Rhinolophus ferrumequinum: one gene and its partner. The protein of the gene in region 2 binds, or shares a complex with, the protein of the main gene of each other region. Links are inferred from orthologs where the notes say so. Each region holds a gene or a part of one and is shown on either strand. Other genes may lie near its edges.

Region 1 (7,885 bases), on a different chromosome or scaffold from region 2:
GGTGTTCAGGGTTTCACTGACTTTAATCGGGAATTAGCACGTTAACGGGGAGCAGAGCACTGGAAATTCAACTGTTTCCCATCTACACCTCCACACAGGCTACAGAAAGAGCGGAAGGGAAATGATAAAAGCAGCTAAGAAAATAAAAATGTGAAGAGGTACTCTAGAAAAAACAAGGGGGCAGATAATGCTGAAGGACACAAAAGCTCTCTAAGAAACAACTCTGGCAATTAAGAACTGGAGAAAAAGAACTGTGAAGTCATTTAGTAACTAAAAAAAGATTCTTAATAAATTAAAAAGTGTGATGTATGAAAGAAAGAAGTAGAAGTAGAAAATGAAAAATGTAATGGGGTTGATTTTTTTCTCCTCATTCTTTCCTGATCATTACCTTTGAATGAGTTTCTAATGACAACAAAATTTATTTTTTTATGAACACTCTTGCTAAGAAAAGATAAATCAATACTCCCCAACTTTAATATACCACTTGTCGTCATATGCACTGAGCACTTGTTAATATATTTCTATTGGCAACATCAAAATAAGAGCCATAATTTACTGCAGGTTTCTTTTGTGCTCTCTCTCTATCCAAGTTGTCCCTAGGCTTCACAAGAACCCTTCTAGCTCAGTAGCTCTTGCCTCAATTTACATGTAAGGAAACCAAGGTTTCCTCTGAGTCTAACCTCTGACAGTTTACCTAATTTGCCCAAGATTATAGTCATAAAATGCCATATTTAGAACTTGACCCCACGTCTGTGATTCCAGAGTCCACCCCCTTACTACTCTCTCTCTCTGTCTCGCCATATATTCTTGCTTTTTCAATGATATCAGTAACTGTTCTATGCTAGCCCACTATTCTGGAACTATTTTCCATTGAAAACTGTGGAGCATTGCCTCAGTGAGAAAGAGCTTTGGCTACTTCAGGCCAGTGATTTGTTTAACTCAGTGCAGAACACCAAAGACATTTTTGAAGGAAAGTACTGACACCTTCATCAAGGCAAAGACTATCCCTGAGGGTCACCAGAGGATCAGAGTCATAAAAGGACCCTGTGACAAATTCTACAGAATGTAAGAAAGAAAGGAATGAAGGTAGATGAAAAAGGTGGCATTGTTTGAATCTCAGCCTTGGCTGCTTAAAAAATAATATAGTATGTGCATCCTACTCCAGGACAGTGAAAACATGGGTTTATAGAAAGAGTGAGGGCTCTGTAAAAAATTCTGTGGACCTGGGTTCAATTCCAGCACTATTTATCAGTTGTGTGATCTTGGAGCAATGCCTTTACCTCTCTGAGATACGTTTCTATGTCTGTGAACGTGGGGCCATTAATTCCTACCTCGATGGGTAATAATTTTATAAGGGTTAAATAATAGAATGTGTGTAGTAAAATGCCGAACACTTACCACGCTCTCCATTCTGGTTAGTGTTATCAGGAGAAGGAGGTGGTAGGGAGGGAAAGTAGAAGACAAGAGTGGGGAAGGAAAAAGAGCTTAGCGGACAGAAGGGGAGTCACAAGAAAGACCTTCTGTGATGTTCAAGTCCCCCATTCCCATCTTTGGTTCCTCTCTTCATCCCATGGGTCCAATAAGCAATATCTCCCCTTCCTTCCCCAGCTGGGCCCAGGGCAGTTTCCTTTCCGTTTCCATTCATGGTGATTTGAAGCCTTCCCCTGCCCTCAGAAGCATGAGTATTTTCTCCCTGTGTACAGTGCTTAACTGTTTCTGTCCCATCCTGTGAGAACCATGGGCAGGTGCCACACACACCTTTTTGAATCCATTACCTGCTTCTATAAGTTATTCTGACCATAGCTTCCAGTAGTAGAAGGTTAGTGACAAATGGCTTTATAGAATCATTTAATCAGCTTCATATAATGTGTATTGCCTTCAAAGAGTACCTACAACTATCTGAGCTGAGCTGGGTGGTGTATGCCCGATGCACACACACGATGAACTGAGTGTCTCAGGCGCTCCCTGGGGGTGGTCTCGCTGGGTGCTAAGAGCGTTAGACCCTTTTATAAATCTCTTATGGCACTTAGCTCATTGCACTGTTATTATCTGTTTGTAAGTCTGTCTTCCCGGTAAACCCTGAGCTTCTAACCTGGTCTAATGCATCTTTGTACCCTTTAAACTCCCGCTCACTGCCTGGTGTGTTGCTGATGCTCAAGAAATGTGTGAATGAATGTCTCTTTAAACAAGCTCCAGGAGAGACAGAGAGAGACTTCATTCTGGTGCTGAGTTTATTTGCAGAAGTTACATGAAAATTTAATAACATCCATGTATTTCCCATTAGACTTCATTTGCTTTTCATAGCACCTCTTTGCAATGAAGGGAAACAATCAGTTTAAATCGCAGCCAGCAGATTTTCTTGTGGTTTTTTTTGGAGAGAGCAGGGAGCCTCAGCCCCGTCTGTCATGGCCCTTTTCTGTCTAATGCCAAGAAAAGTGAAGCTTGCAATAGCTAGTACTTAGCCCTTCGAACCAATGTGAGCTAAAAGGCCCGGAAATGCAAACGCAGCAAATGTTCCTGGGAGTCTGGAAAGCAACAGGATGGAGGGGATGGAAGCCCAAGGAAGGAGGCAGGGTGACCGGCTGGGAGGGATTCACCAGGCTTGTGAGGAGCTGCGTTGAACGTTTCTATACACAAGAACCCGGGCAGAAGCGCAAATCAAAGCAGCCGAGTAGTGCTCTACGTTTTAATTCCAGAAAGTAAAGCATGAATAATAATGATGAGAGACCCTAACTTTACAAGTCAGTGAAATCTGCTCTGGGCTCCGAGGGCAGAGGCTGAACTCCAAGGCAGGGAACCGAAAGCGGGACCCCAGTGCTGCAGCCCTGCTCCCGGGAAGAACGGATTTACCTGAAAGACCTTTAATGAAGGCACTTTGCCGATTCTGCTTTCCGGGATGAAAGGGAAGTGGAGCTGGGTCTTCCTGTTGAATCTTCTAAGCGTCCAAACGAAGGGATGAATGTTGGGGCGTCCCCGGGCGGCTCCCTGGGAAGCTGCAGCCATGTCTCCAGCAAAAACACGCACTTAGCAACGTGTTCCTAAGGGAGGTGGCTTGGTGGCTTTATTTCTCTTAAAGTGACAGGTTATTCCTAGTAGAGGAACACAAAGGTGCGTGGGGGGTGAGAGCAGAAAGCAGCCTACAGGACAAGGAAAAAGAGAATCCACCTGGGGCAGGAGCTGGGCAGAAGTTAAGTCAAACTTTAAGAGCCGTTCCCTCCCTCATGTGTGGGGTCACTGGCATTTCTGGTAAAAGACAGGCCGTGCTCAGAGGCGGGTGCTTTAGAATCATGATGGGTCATTGTTTTGGAGTGAGGATATCTTTGTAGTGAAGGCTCCCTAGAGGTGCTTCCAGGCCCCAGCAAATACTGCTCTGCAGTGTTTTCCGCTTAAATGTGGGAGACTGAATGTACAAGGTTAACCTCTGCTTTTTCTCTGACTCCCACTGAAATGATTGAGCGAAGATATAAATGTGATGGCTCAAAAAGCCAAGGGATAGGAGAAGAGGCAAAGCAGATGGAAGAGCACGGAAGGAGTCGACCAAAGAAAGCCACACTCCAAGTATGCGTGTGTGTGTCTGTTTACTAGTGCGCATGTCCATGTCCATGTGTCTCTCTGTGTGTAACTGGGTGTGTTTGAGTGTATCTCTACGCGTGTCTCGGTTGGTTTGTCTCTGGGTATCTGTGTCTATGCATGTCTCTGTGTGTTTCTCTGTATGTATGTATGTATCTGTGTGTCTCTGTTTCTGTGTATGTTTGCACATCTCTGAGTGTGTGTTCCTCTGTGTGTCCATGTACATACATGTGTGTCTGTGTGTGTATCTGTGTATGTGTGGGATGGGGTAAGTAGGCGTAAGAATGAGGAAATGAACTGATCCAGTCTGCAGAACTCCAGAGAAGCTCAGGCTTTGGCTCAGTGTTGTGATGCGCTGAAGAGTGTCCCACTATATCTTTTTTAGTGGGACACTAAAAAAGATATGTTGGAGTCCTTACCCCCAGGTCTTCAAAATGTGACCTTATTTGGAAATGACTCAGTTTAAAATGAGGTCATTAGCATGGGCCCTTATCCAATGTGACTACATTCTTATAAAAAGGGGAGAATCTAGGCACAGAGACAGACGTGCATAGAGGGAAGGGGATATGAAGACACAGAGAGAATAGCATCTATAAATCAGGGAACGCCTGAGGCACCAGAAGCGAGGAGACACATGGGACCCATTCTTCCTCACAGCCCTGAGAAGGAACCAATCCCGCCAATGCCTTGGTTTCTTACCTCTCATCTCCAGAACTGTGAGACAATATATTTCTGTTGTCTTAAGCCACCCAGTGGGCTGCTTTGTTGTAGCAGCCTCAGGAAACTAGCACAGTTATATACCAAGGAAAGTGGGGAGAGTTATGGGGCTGAAACGCAAGATTTGGAAGTCTGTATACAGAGGGGCTATGTCCTCAAGCTCCTTCCTTACTCCTGGCAGCCTGAGGAAACACGCCCATTCCCCCACCCCCTCTTCTTCTGCCACTCAGAGGAGACTGGAGTTTTCTATGGAAGTTGAACCATAGACACTCTGGTCTCAAGTCCCAGGTACAGCAGACAGTGGGTGTGTTTCAGGGTTGAAAACTGAATATGAAATGGGGAGGTGGGTAGGGCACTCTCCTTCTCACAAAACTGAGGCAAACAAAAGTATATCTTTGGCTCCCCCAGTAACAAACTGGAAAACATGGAAAAATTATTTTCTGGAGAAACTGAATGGTCACAAAGAACAGATGCCAGATACTGACACTTCTGGATCCTCCAATGGAAAAACAAAACAAAACAAAACAAAACAAATCTATCATATCACCTTTACAGAAAAGCATTGCAGAGAAAATGAGAAGATCTCAGGTTAAGAAATTCCACATATGTAGTTATGGAAAGAAAGAACCAAGAAAATGAAAAGGTAGAATTTATCAAAGAAGTAATATAAGAAAAACTCTTATATTTTTATTTTAGATTGAAAGCTGGCACAAGGAGACAGAAAGTTATCTCTCGGTTTCTTTTCTGCATGTGGTGGGAAAAATATTCTCCACAGAATTTATAATCGTTGGCTTGCACTATGCTGTTTAATTGTCTTATTGATGCTACCTATATCATTTAGGAACGCTCCCCCAAGAGACACATTTTAAAAAGCGATCTCCGTTTACTGTATTCCTGTGGGATTCTGGGCAGGAGCAGATACGAAATATCTTCAACTAGTCAATTCCAGATGGCTGCAAATATACTTTGCTGAAGATGAGCTCACAATCCAAAATTAGACAACACAGGAGGGAACAATCAAGAGTCCGTAGACAACCAAAGGGCATATCCAAGAACTTCTGATAACACAATGATCAAATGGAGAATATAAAAAAAAACAATGACCATAAAAGAACTTAAAAGGAGGCTTTGAAGATATGAGAGATATACTATGAAAAAGATCAGGCAAATGTGCAAAGGAACAAGCTAGAGCTTTTAGAAACGAATAATAAAATTATGATTTTTTTTTTTTAAGCAAAGGATGGGTTAAACTTCTGTTAAGAGAGCTGGAAAAAGAATTAGTGACATAAAAAAAAGATATTAAAAAATTAAAATGGGGCCTAGAGAGACGGAAAATGGGAAAGAATGGATGAAAGTCAAGGAGGAGAAATTTAAGGGGTCCGCCATATCTGGTGGAGTCCCAGGAAGGTAGAAGAGAGAAAGAAGGTGAATGCTGAATCTTAACATAGAGAGATCTTCGTCAACTTCCTTTTCTATGTTTCAGTTTCCTCATCTGTAAAATGGGGTTAATAATATTAATGACCACAGAGGGTTGTTAGGTTTATTAATTTAATGTTAATCAAATCCTGGCAGATGCAAATGCTATACGGTTTATGAATGAAAAAAAAAAGGTGAATATTGTCTTAGCTCAGACTGCTTTGATAGAATACCATAGACTGGGGGTGGGGCTTAAGCAATAAAGATGGATTTTCTCACAATTCTGTAGGCTGGGAAATCCAAGATTAAGTTGCCAGCTGATTCAGTTTTTGGTGAAAGCTCTCTTCCTGGCTTGTAGATGGCTGCCATCTAACTGTGTCCTCACAGGGTATTCAGATGGAGACAGAGATAACTCTTCCTCTTCTCATAAGTCCACCAATCCTTTTGGACATCCTCACTTGGATTAAGGCTCCACCCTTATGACCTCATTTAATCATCTAACTTTATCTCCTAAAATTCTTACTTCCAAATACAGTCATATTGAGAGTTAGGGCAGCAACATGTGAGGTTGTGTTTTGGGGGACACAGTTCAGACTATAGCAGATGTTAATTGTAAGAGATTATCTACTTGAAGTGGTTAGTTGCCATAAGAGGATTTATTCACCAGTCTTGTGCTAATTAACTTTCTGATTATGACATTCCTTATCTGTTCGTATTTAACTAAACTAAACCAGTTCATAAGAATTATACATCTCACAATGTTCCAAAATTATTAAAGGGCATAATTCGAAAACATCATTTCTTGCAAAAATTCTTATGTGAGCAAAATAAATGAGTCTAGCAGATTTGTTTTAAATCAAAACACAAAATTCTCATTCTTTTAAGTTACGTGTTCCTAGCTGGCTGAAGAGCTTCCAATCAAGAACTTGTCTTGAATCACACATCACAAGCTCTTCTTCTGCGTCTTTTCAGATAATCAAATATGATTATCCTTCTTTCATTTTTTAATGGGGTGAATTGCATTAACAGGCTTTTTAACGTCAAATTTTTCTTGTGTCTCTGGGGTACACTAAGTTTGGTCAAAACGTTTAAAAAATTAATTGGTGGATTTTAGTTACTAATGTTTAGATTTTTTTGCCTTAATGTTCATAACTGAGATGATATTATTTTTCGTTTTTTGTATTGTTTTTTTTTTAGGATATTTCTAATCTCAGAAAAAGCAGACTAATCTCTCTCTGTGTACCTCTTTCTGTCTCTGTCTCTGTCTGTATGTCTGTCTGTTTCTTTCTCTCTCTCTCTCACACACACACACACAAACTCTGTTCTGTGAACTTGTGCATAAAACACTTGGGTCCAGTGAGATTTTTTTTATCATGGTAAAAATATATATAACATAATATTTGCCATTTTAGCCATTTATCCAGTTTTATCGTGATATAATTGAAATATAAATTTGTCTTAATTTTAGGTGCACAACATAATGGTTTGATATATATATATTGCCACCTAGGAACGCTTAACCTAAAAGAATGAGAGTTTTGCATTTTGGTTTAAAACAAATCTGTTAGATTCATTTATTTTGCTCGCATAAGAATTTATATATATACCAAAGTGATCACCACGATCAGTTTAACTAACATCCATCGCCTCACATAGTTACAATCTTTTTTCCTTGTGGTAAGAACTCGAGAACTTTCAAGATCTACTCTTTTAGCAACTTTCAAATATATATTTTAACCACGTTTAAGTGTACAATTCAGTGGCATTAGTTACATCCACAATGTGTGCAACCATCACCACTATCTATTTCTGAAATTTTTTCATCACCCCAAATGGTAACTCTGTACCCAGTAAACAATAACTCTGCATTCCTCCCTCTGGTAACCCAGCCCAGCCTCTGCTAACCTCCAGTCCACTTTCTGTCTCTATAAATTTGCCTATTCTAGTTATTTCATTTACTTGCAACCGTATGATAATTGTCCGTTTATGTTTGGTTTAGTTCCTTTAACATAATGTTTTCAAGGTTCATCCATATTATAGCCTGTGTCAGTACATCATTATGTTTTAATGCTGAATCATAATTCATTGTGTGCGTATACCACATTTTCCTTATCCACTTATCTGCTGATGGATATTTAGGTTGTTTCTACCTTTTGGGTAGAGTGAATAATGCTTCAATATA
Region 2 (7,822 bases):
TTTTCAGGCTAACCTATTTGTATCACATTCCTCCCCACATTTTCAGGAATCTCAAAATGTATTTAGTTCCTTAACAATACTTTCATATTTTGGATCCTGGCTTTCTCAAAAGCTACTTCTACTATACCCTCTGTCACTATTCCTCAAATTCCAATGTGCCTTGCTCCACCTCAGTTACTAGTAATCCTTTGTATATCTCTCTAAACTGTAAGCTTCATGAGGTTATTGAATGTTTTTATTTTGTTCACAATTAGATGATCAATTCTTAATAGAATTTAAGGTACATAATAGACATGACAAATATATATTTTACATTTATTACATTACTGAACAAATAATTATGAATACAGTGTCATTCTTGTAATTTTTACAGCCAACAATTATCAAAATTATCAAACTAATAATTCAAAATAATAAAATTAACAACAAATTACACCATAGGGAATATGAAAAGACATACCTCCAGTTCATTTTCCAATTTCATCACTTTAGTTTTTAATTGATTTTCTATTTCAAAAAAAAGAAATGTTTCAATTGGTCAGATTTATATCAAAACAAGCTTTTAAAATTTTTTCAATAAAATTATTTTTAAAGAGTCCATTGTGACTGTAAAAAGGTAATATAAGAGAAAAATAACAAATTTACACCAGACCCGTGAAATAGGAGTTCTAGAAACAGCTTTCAAAATAAATTGAGTATATACATTTTACAGACTTACATCAAAGTTAATTTCTCTATTGCTTAGTGAATAAATGGAATCCACTATCTAATATCATAATAAACTTTTTCCAAGGCATTTACCAAATTTTGCTTGTTCTTCTCCAGCTTTTTCAACTTCTTCCAAAGCTAGCTCTACTTCTTGAGCTTTCATCTAAACAGTAAAAAAAAAAAAAAAGTGACTTCAATATGCCTTTATACTAGAATGCAAGCACTGAAAATAAGGATTTTATTTGCAATCCCAATACTTAGTGTCTCCAATGTCTATCACATGGAGATCTTCGGCAAATATTTGTTAAATGAATACATGATTTTCTTTCTTAAGATTATAATTTCTAGATTCTTAACAGTTTGAAACATCTTTGATTCCTCTTTATCCTCAAGTCTTATATCCAGTATTGCAACTTTTCCCTTTGTTTTCCATTATCTTTTTTTCTATTCTTTTCTACTATACCTTCTTTTTCTATTCTAATTGTCATTATGCTAGTCCATAATTTGAAGTCTAACCTCCTTCATCATGTTATGTCTAAACAGCTTCAATTCCCTTCAATGTGTCCCATTAACATACTTAGTTTAGCCTTCCCAAGGCATATTTTGGTATCTATCATTGTGGCTCAAAAACCTTTAATGGCTGACAGCATAAAATATCACTTCAAGTCCTTGACAAAGCTGTCAAATTATATATACCCAACATTTGTTTCCTCTATGACCAGCTATAAACTTTCTGCACTTGTCTCCTCAATATAAAGAATACACACATTTTCCATTACCAGTTTTTATTTATGGTAACCTCCAGCTCTAGAATCTCCTTAACATTATACCCCTGCCTTCCACTTACCTAAAACTACTCATCACTCTTTGACCTTTATGAGGTCTTCTCACATATAAATCTCTTCCTTTTCTAACAAATCCCTATAGTAGTTATCTGCATTTTTCATTTCTACCTCATCATTGTTAACAAAATTAACACAGGACCTTCCTACGTTATTTTTAAACATACACATTCTGTTTCCCCCACACATTCTTTTAGGAAATTTAGAGCAGAAACTACCAATGTTTTTGCACACTAAAATTATCAATCACATTTGAAGATCTACTTTTTGTGCTGATTTAGACATTACAAAGTACTTTCACAGAGATTAACACTTAAGAACAGATTCTTGAATTTCTCTAATAGTCAAACCTGTTATTAAAATCTACTGCATACAAACCTTCATCAGTGACTGAGTAATTCTGAAAAGGTGTATCACATTTTCTTGACTTTCACTTTTTAGCTCATTTACTTCCACCTAAGTAAACAGAGAAGAAACTATTTTATATTACATAACACTTAAGCAAAATATAAGAATTCTTCCAGTTATACCATCCAGTGATTTCAGGAACAACTTAATCATAGTTGATGTATCTACGTATTATTTATCAATTAAGCACCTTGGATAAAGAAACCAATAAATTATCTGCCAATTCTTCTTGACGAGGCAGGTCATCTGGGTCAACTTTTATTATTTCTTTCCAGTTTATATTAGGTGGCATCTTGAATTCTTTAACAACGCTTTACCTTCTGTAACAAAACAGATGGGTATTAGCATTTTGAAGGGAAACAGCGTTTCTGTTTTTACAGTAATTTAGTGTTTATAGATTACATTATTGTAACCTCGGTGTTAGCAAATAACTATGGCTCCTTAATAGTATAACCGATAAGTGGGCAAAACAGCCTTGATCAAAATATAGCAGTCGGCACAAACCATCAGATATTGCATCGGCTAAATAAAGTATGACAGCTCCCTTGCTAAAACTAATCTAGGTCAGAACTAAGATTCTGAGTCCCCTTCTCCATGATCCTTACCACCAAGGCGCGCGAACACCTAATTGGGCGGAGTGCTTGGAAGGCTGAAATTGACCCTTGATTCGGAAAAGCAGCAACTGTGGGTTTAAAAAAAAGTGCATACATAAACGACTGAAATGAGTGCAGTCGCGCAGGAGAAACCAGGGCTGAAGCGAGACGGCAGATGCATTGCGGACCAAAGACTAAGGGGCGGGGAAGATGGGCTATTTGGTGTGGGCCCTGAGGCTTAAAGAACCTGAGTGGGAAGAGATTCGCTGCTTCGCCTCACCAGGATCCACCCACCAAGCCTGGCAACCAGCGGCGGCTCCTTATTTACCGCATCCACCAGACCTGACCCGGCTGCCACGCCTGACCGCTCCCCAGCGCGGTTCCAACCCCACGCTGGATCCAGCTAACTGATCCCGAGCAGCAAGAGCGGCGGCGGCTGCTAGGCGACACCATTCCCCACCCAGTCAAGGCCAAAACAAGGCCCCGGATGCATGCGGAGCCTACATTTCACGACTATGGGTGATGCTTTACGTTTAGATTCCCCAGAGGAGTTCCGGGACTCTGTATTAAGGAGGAGGAGAAGGGCGTGGGCTTAGGACTCCAAGTCCCAGAGTGCAGTGCTTTTGGAGGCTTGTGCATCCTGGGAATTGAAGTCTCTGAGAAGTGGAGGCGGGCCTTTCCCGGCATGCAAAGCGGGAGGCTGCGACTGTACCGGGCCGCGGGGTAAAGATCGGGAGGCGGGAGGCGCAGTGACTGAGGCGCATCTGCACTGTTGACCATGACTGTGCCTTCGGTGGCGTCGCTCGTTGGCCCGTTTTTTCTGAGGTTTCCCTAAGCCATCCCTCGGTGGAACTGCTCCCAGGTGAAGTCAGAGTGTGGGTCAGCGGCGGGGGAGGTGTTGATGGGAGCGGTCCTGGCTTACAGCAGCTCCGAGCATTGGGGAGGAAGGGCCCTGTCGGAGTCTGAAGAGGTGGGACGACCCCGCCTTCTCCTTAGGCGTTTGCAAGGGACGCCCCGGGTGGTGCCCTCTGTAAGAAGAAGGGCGGGAGGGGGGAAGTTTTAGCCTTTTTTGGTGTCAGAATCTGGCTCTGTATAGTGGAGTGGGGGCCGTGCAATCGAGGTCCTGATTTGGGGGCGAGTGAAGGATTGAGAAGACACGACACCGCATCCTACGACCTCGCCCCCCTTACCTGTAGCACTTTTACCTTCGCGGTTTGAAGGACTTGGAAGGCTGAGGAGTTAGTGTAGATTGAAGGCTCTAGAAAAGAGAGGTTAGAACTTGTCTAGGCCACTGCTAGGGGTGGAGAGAGAAGGAGCCTCGGTACTCAGCATTCCTATTGCTGTCACTTACTTGGTTCCCGAGGCTCCCCTTCTAGGAAGGTGCCTTCTCAGGTGTGTACAACTCGTATTTGTGCAAGTTTTGCTCATCCGGCTGCTCTCAGCCATTCTGGAGTATAATACACCACTAGGTAATTTTGTTAAGGAGCCATAGATTTGAAATCTAAATGGCATTTTTCAACTGTTTGGACCAGCGCCTCATCTTTTTTTTTTTTTTTTTTTAAGCACTTTGGTTTTTCTTACTATAGTTGATACTAAAATTTCCTTTTGAAAATAAATAATAGATTTCTTTCCAAACCATGGGTGGTTCATAGCTTAGTAGAAAATAAAAACAAATACGGATTTTTGAGGTACATTTAAAGACAGTCATCAGATTTCTGAGAATGATCATTTCTGTCTAATCGTTTACTGTAAGATAGTATGTCACATACTATTCATTATCTTTTTTAAAAAAACCATGTTCTACATTACATCTTGCAGAACTTATTTATAACTGGAAATTTGTAACTTTTGACCAGTCTGCTTTTTGTTTCTGTGAATCCTGTTTTTTTGGGTTCCTCATCTAAGTGAGATAGTTAATATTTTTCTTTGTCTAACTTACTTCACTTAGCATAATACTCCTGAGGCCCATTCATGCAAATGGCAAGATTTCCTTCTTTTTATAGATGATTAATATGCCGTTGTGTTCATATGCCACGTTTTGTTGATCCATTCAGCCCTCGGTGGACACTTAGGTTCTTACCATGGGTTGGCTGTTGTAAATAATCTGTAGTGAATATGGGGGTGCAGGTATCTCTTTGAGATAGTGATTTCATTTCCTTCAGACACATACCCAAAAGTAGAATTGCAGGATAATATGGCACTTCATACATTTTCAGGGCACTTCCATACTAGTTTCCATAGTGGCTGCACCGATTTACATTCCCACCAACAGTAAACAGGGTTTTCTTTTCTCTACATGCTTGCCAACACTCGTCTCTTGTGTTTTTGATAGCAACCGTTCTAACTGGAGTGAGGTGATATTTCATTGTGGTTTTGATTTGCATTTCCCTGGTGACTAGTGGTGAGCCCCTTTTCATTAACCTTTTCATTAAGACAGTTTGCGTCTTCTTTGAAAGATATTCCTCTGCCTATTTCTTAATTGGATTATTTGGGGTTTTTTCCTTTTCTGTTGAGTTGTATGAGTCTTTTACATAGTTTGTTTATTAGCCCCTTATCAGATACATATTTGTAAATATTTTCTACTATTCGATAGGTTGGTTGTTTTTGTTTTTTTCATTTTGTTTATGGTTCCCATTGCTGTGCAGAAGCTTTTTAGTTTAACGTAGTCCAACTTGTTTATTCTTGCTTTTGGTGCCTTTGCTTTTGGGGTCCAATCCAAAAAACCATTGCCCAAACCAGTCTTAAATAGCTTATCCCCTGTTTTATTACAGGAGTTTTATGATCTCAGGACTTATGTTCAAGTCTTTCGTTCATTTTGAGTTGATTTTTGTGAGTGGGGTAAGATAGCAGTCTAGTTTCATTCTGCATGTGGCTGTCCAGTTTTCCCGACATCATTTGTTAAAGAGACTCTCCTTTCCCCATTGTATATTCTTGGTCCCTCTGTTTATTTCTGAGCTCTCTATTCCGTTTCATTGGTCTATGTGTGTGTTTTTTATACCAGTACTGTTACTGGGAGTGACGTTTTTCCTCGGTTCTTGTCTTAAAGGAAAGAATTCAGTCAAGAGGCCGAATTGGTGCAGCGTAGGACAGCAAGCAGTTTATTAGTAAAAGCAAGTACACTCCCAGACATGGAGCCCGCTGACCCAAGAGAAGGAAGCAGCCTCCTTACATTGTGTGAGGGTTTTTCTTTCTATAGGTAGAATTGTCTCCTCCTCCCCTTGTCCAGTGTCTTTCTCTCTTTCTGCGGGTGTGTCCATCCTCTCTTCCTGTTGTTTCCTGGGGCGCAAGTGTGAACCCATTAATTTCCCATGATGTATTTGAGAAGCTCGTTAAAAAGGGGCAAACTATAATTGTATGGTCCAAAGAAGCAGGATGTACATTCTGATAACCGGGTTGTTTTCCCTCCTTCTCCAGCATTTCTTTTTGCTTCTAAGGACATATCTTTTTGATAAGTAGGAGCAGCTGCAAGGGGCCTTATAACCAGGGCTAGTTCCCTCCTTCTCCTGCTCATTTCTACCTTTCTACCTACTCTACCAATACCATGCTGTTCTATTTGCTATAGCTTTGTCATTATCTCATTCAATCTTCATAGCAATCCAATGAAATAGGTCCTTATATGAGGTGTGACAATTAAGTTCGCAAACTTGTCACAACCTGTTGGTAACCTTTTTTGATATCAGAGGAATTACTCATTATGAATTTGTACCAACTGGACAAACAGTTAACCACCTTTACTATTTGGAAGTGCTGAAAAGGCTGCGTGAAAGAGTTAGACCTGAACTTTTCGCCAACAGTTCATGGCTCTTGCATCACAACAATGGCACTGTCTGTGAGAGAGTTTTTAGCCAGTAAACAAATAACGGTATTGGAACACCCTCCCTACTCACCTGATCGGTCCCCCAATGACTTCTTTCTTTACCTGAAGAGAAAGGAAATATTGAAAGAAAGACATTTTGATGACATTCAGGACATCAAGGGTAATACGTACAATGACAGCTCTGATGGCCATTCCAGGAAAAGAGTTCCAAAATTGCTTTGAAGGGTGGACTAGGTGCTGGCATCGGTGCACAGCTTCCCAAGGGGAGTACTTCGAAGGTGACCACAGTGATATTCAGCAATGAGGTCTATAGCACTTTTTCTAGGATGAGTTCGCGAACTTAATTGTCTGACCCCATATTGTCATCATTTTCCAACTAAGTTAAGAAACAGAGGCTTGGAGAGGTTAAGTACTCTGTTCAAACTTAAATAGTGTGATTGAACACAGATCTTTGTGGCTGGAGGACGTTTGTAAGTGCTATGCTGCCTCCTCATGCATGCTGGGAAACAATACTGTCAAGTAAGTGCTTGTACATCGATCTTGCTATTTATATGAAACATTATCATATTCTAATTATGCAACTTTGTTTACTCAAGAAGTTGAATTAAATATTTTTCATGTTCAGTGTTTTTAATTCATAATTTAGCAGGGGAAGATAGGAATGAAATCTAGTGTTTGTTGAGCACATACTATGTCATATACTATGCTTCAACTGTATATTTTCATAGTAGAAATCTGTTATTTCTACTACAGCACCTTATTTTTCTTAATTTATTGTAATTATTATTTTCTATTTATTCATCTGCTAGTTTTGTTTTGTTTGTAGTGGTCTTTTCTACCCTCTACTCCCCTCACCCTCTTATTCCCATTTATATTCCCAACAACTCAAGGTACCTGATCTAATGAGTGGGTAAGACAGGAGTCTAGTTTCATTCTTCTGTATGTGGCTGTCCAGTTTTCCCAACATAATTTATTAAAGAGACTGTCCTTTCTCATTTTTCAAGTGTGAAAAACAGGTTCAAAGAAGCTAAGTAATTTCCTAATAATTAATGAAGCTAAGATTGCAACCCAGATCTCAATTATAGTCCTGACAAAATGCAAAATGTTGCTTAAATGTCATTATTTTACTTATTCTAAAAATATTTTTGAGCTTGTACACACTGCTAAATCCTGGGGATACAGCAGAAATGAGTTAGCTATGGTCTAGGTCCTAATGCATTATAGTATGTTTGTACTTAACTGAATTAAAAAATTTAACTGAAGATCTAATTCAGTCAACTCTGTATAATTTTGAGGAAAATCACCTAAATTCACCATTATTTTTCATCAGATTTTCTGTATCAGTCAGTTTTCACCAAGAGAAGGGATTTATGTGACATTTTATAAATGGCCTTATTATAGGAATGCTTGCCTGGACCTGCCTTCTTTCTTTTGATTTTATGAGCAGTTTTATC

Evidence for each region. The genes of interacting proteins can lie anywhere in the genome.
Region 1: CEP290 (region 2) and CC2D2A share a complex: the UniProt entries of both Homo sapiens proteins name them as parts of the tectonic-like complex. The link is inferred for Rhinolophus ferrumequinum from reciprocal best matches to the Homo sapiens genes CEP290 and CC2D2A.

The regions. Positions count from the first base shown.
Region 1 is NC_046288.1:78,839,132-78,847,016, forward strand, and holds the start of CC2D2A (coiled-coil and C2 domain-containing protein 2A), read right to left. Parts: upstream 3,018-7,885; 5' UTR 2,851-3,017; intron 1-2,850. UniProt on the Homo sapiens protein: Component of the tectonic-like complex, a complex localized at the transition zone of primary cilia and acting as a barrier that prevents diffusion of transmembrane proteins between the cilia and plasma membranes.
Region 2 is NC_046293.1:80,227,611-80,235,432, forward strand, and holds the start of CEP290 (centrosomal protein of 290 kDa), read right to left. Parts: upstream 3,015-7,822; 5' UTR 2,799-3,014; exon of another isoform or gene 2,641-2,798; 5' UTR 2,564-2,640; intron 2,279-2,563; 5' UTR 2,251-2,278; coding exon 2,149-2,250; intron 2,007-2,148; coding exon 1,929-2,006; intron 872-1,928; coding exon 802-871; intron 508-801; coding exon 461-507; intron 1-460. UniProt on the Homo sapiens protein: Involved in early and late steps in cilia formation. Its association with CCP110 is required for inhibition of primary cilia formation by CCP110.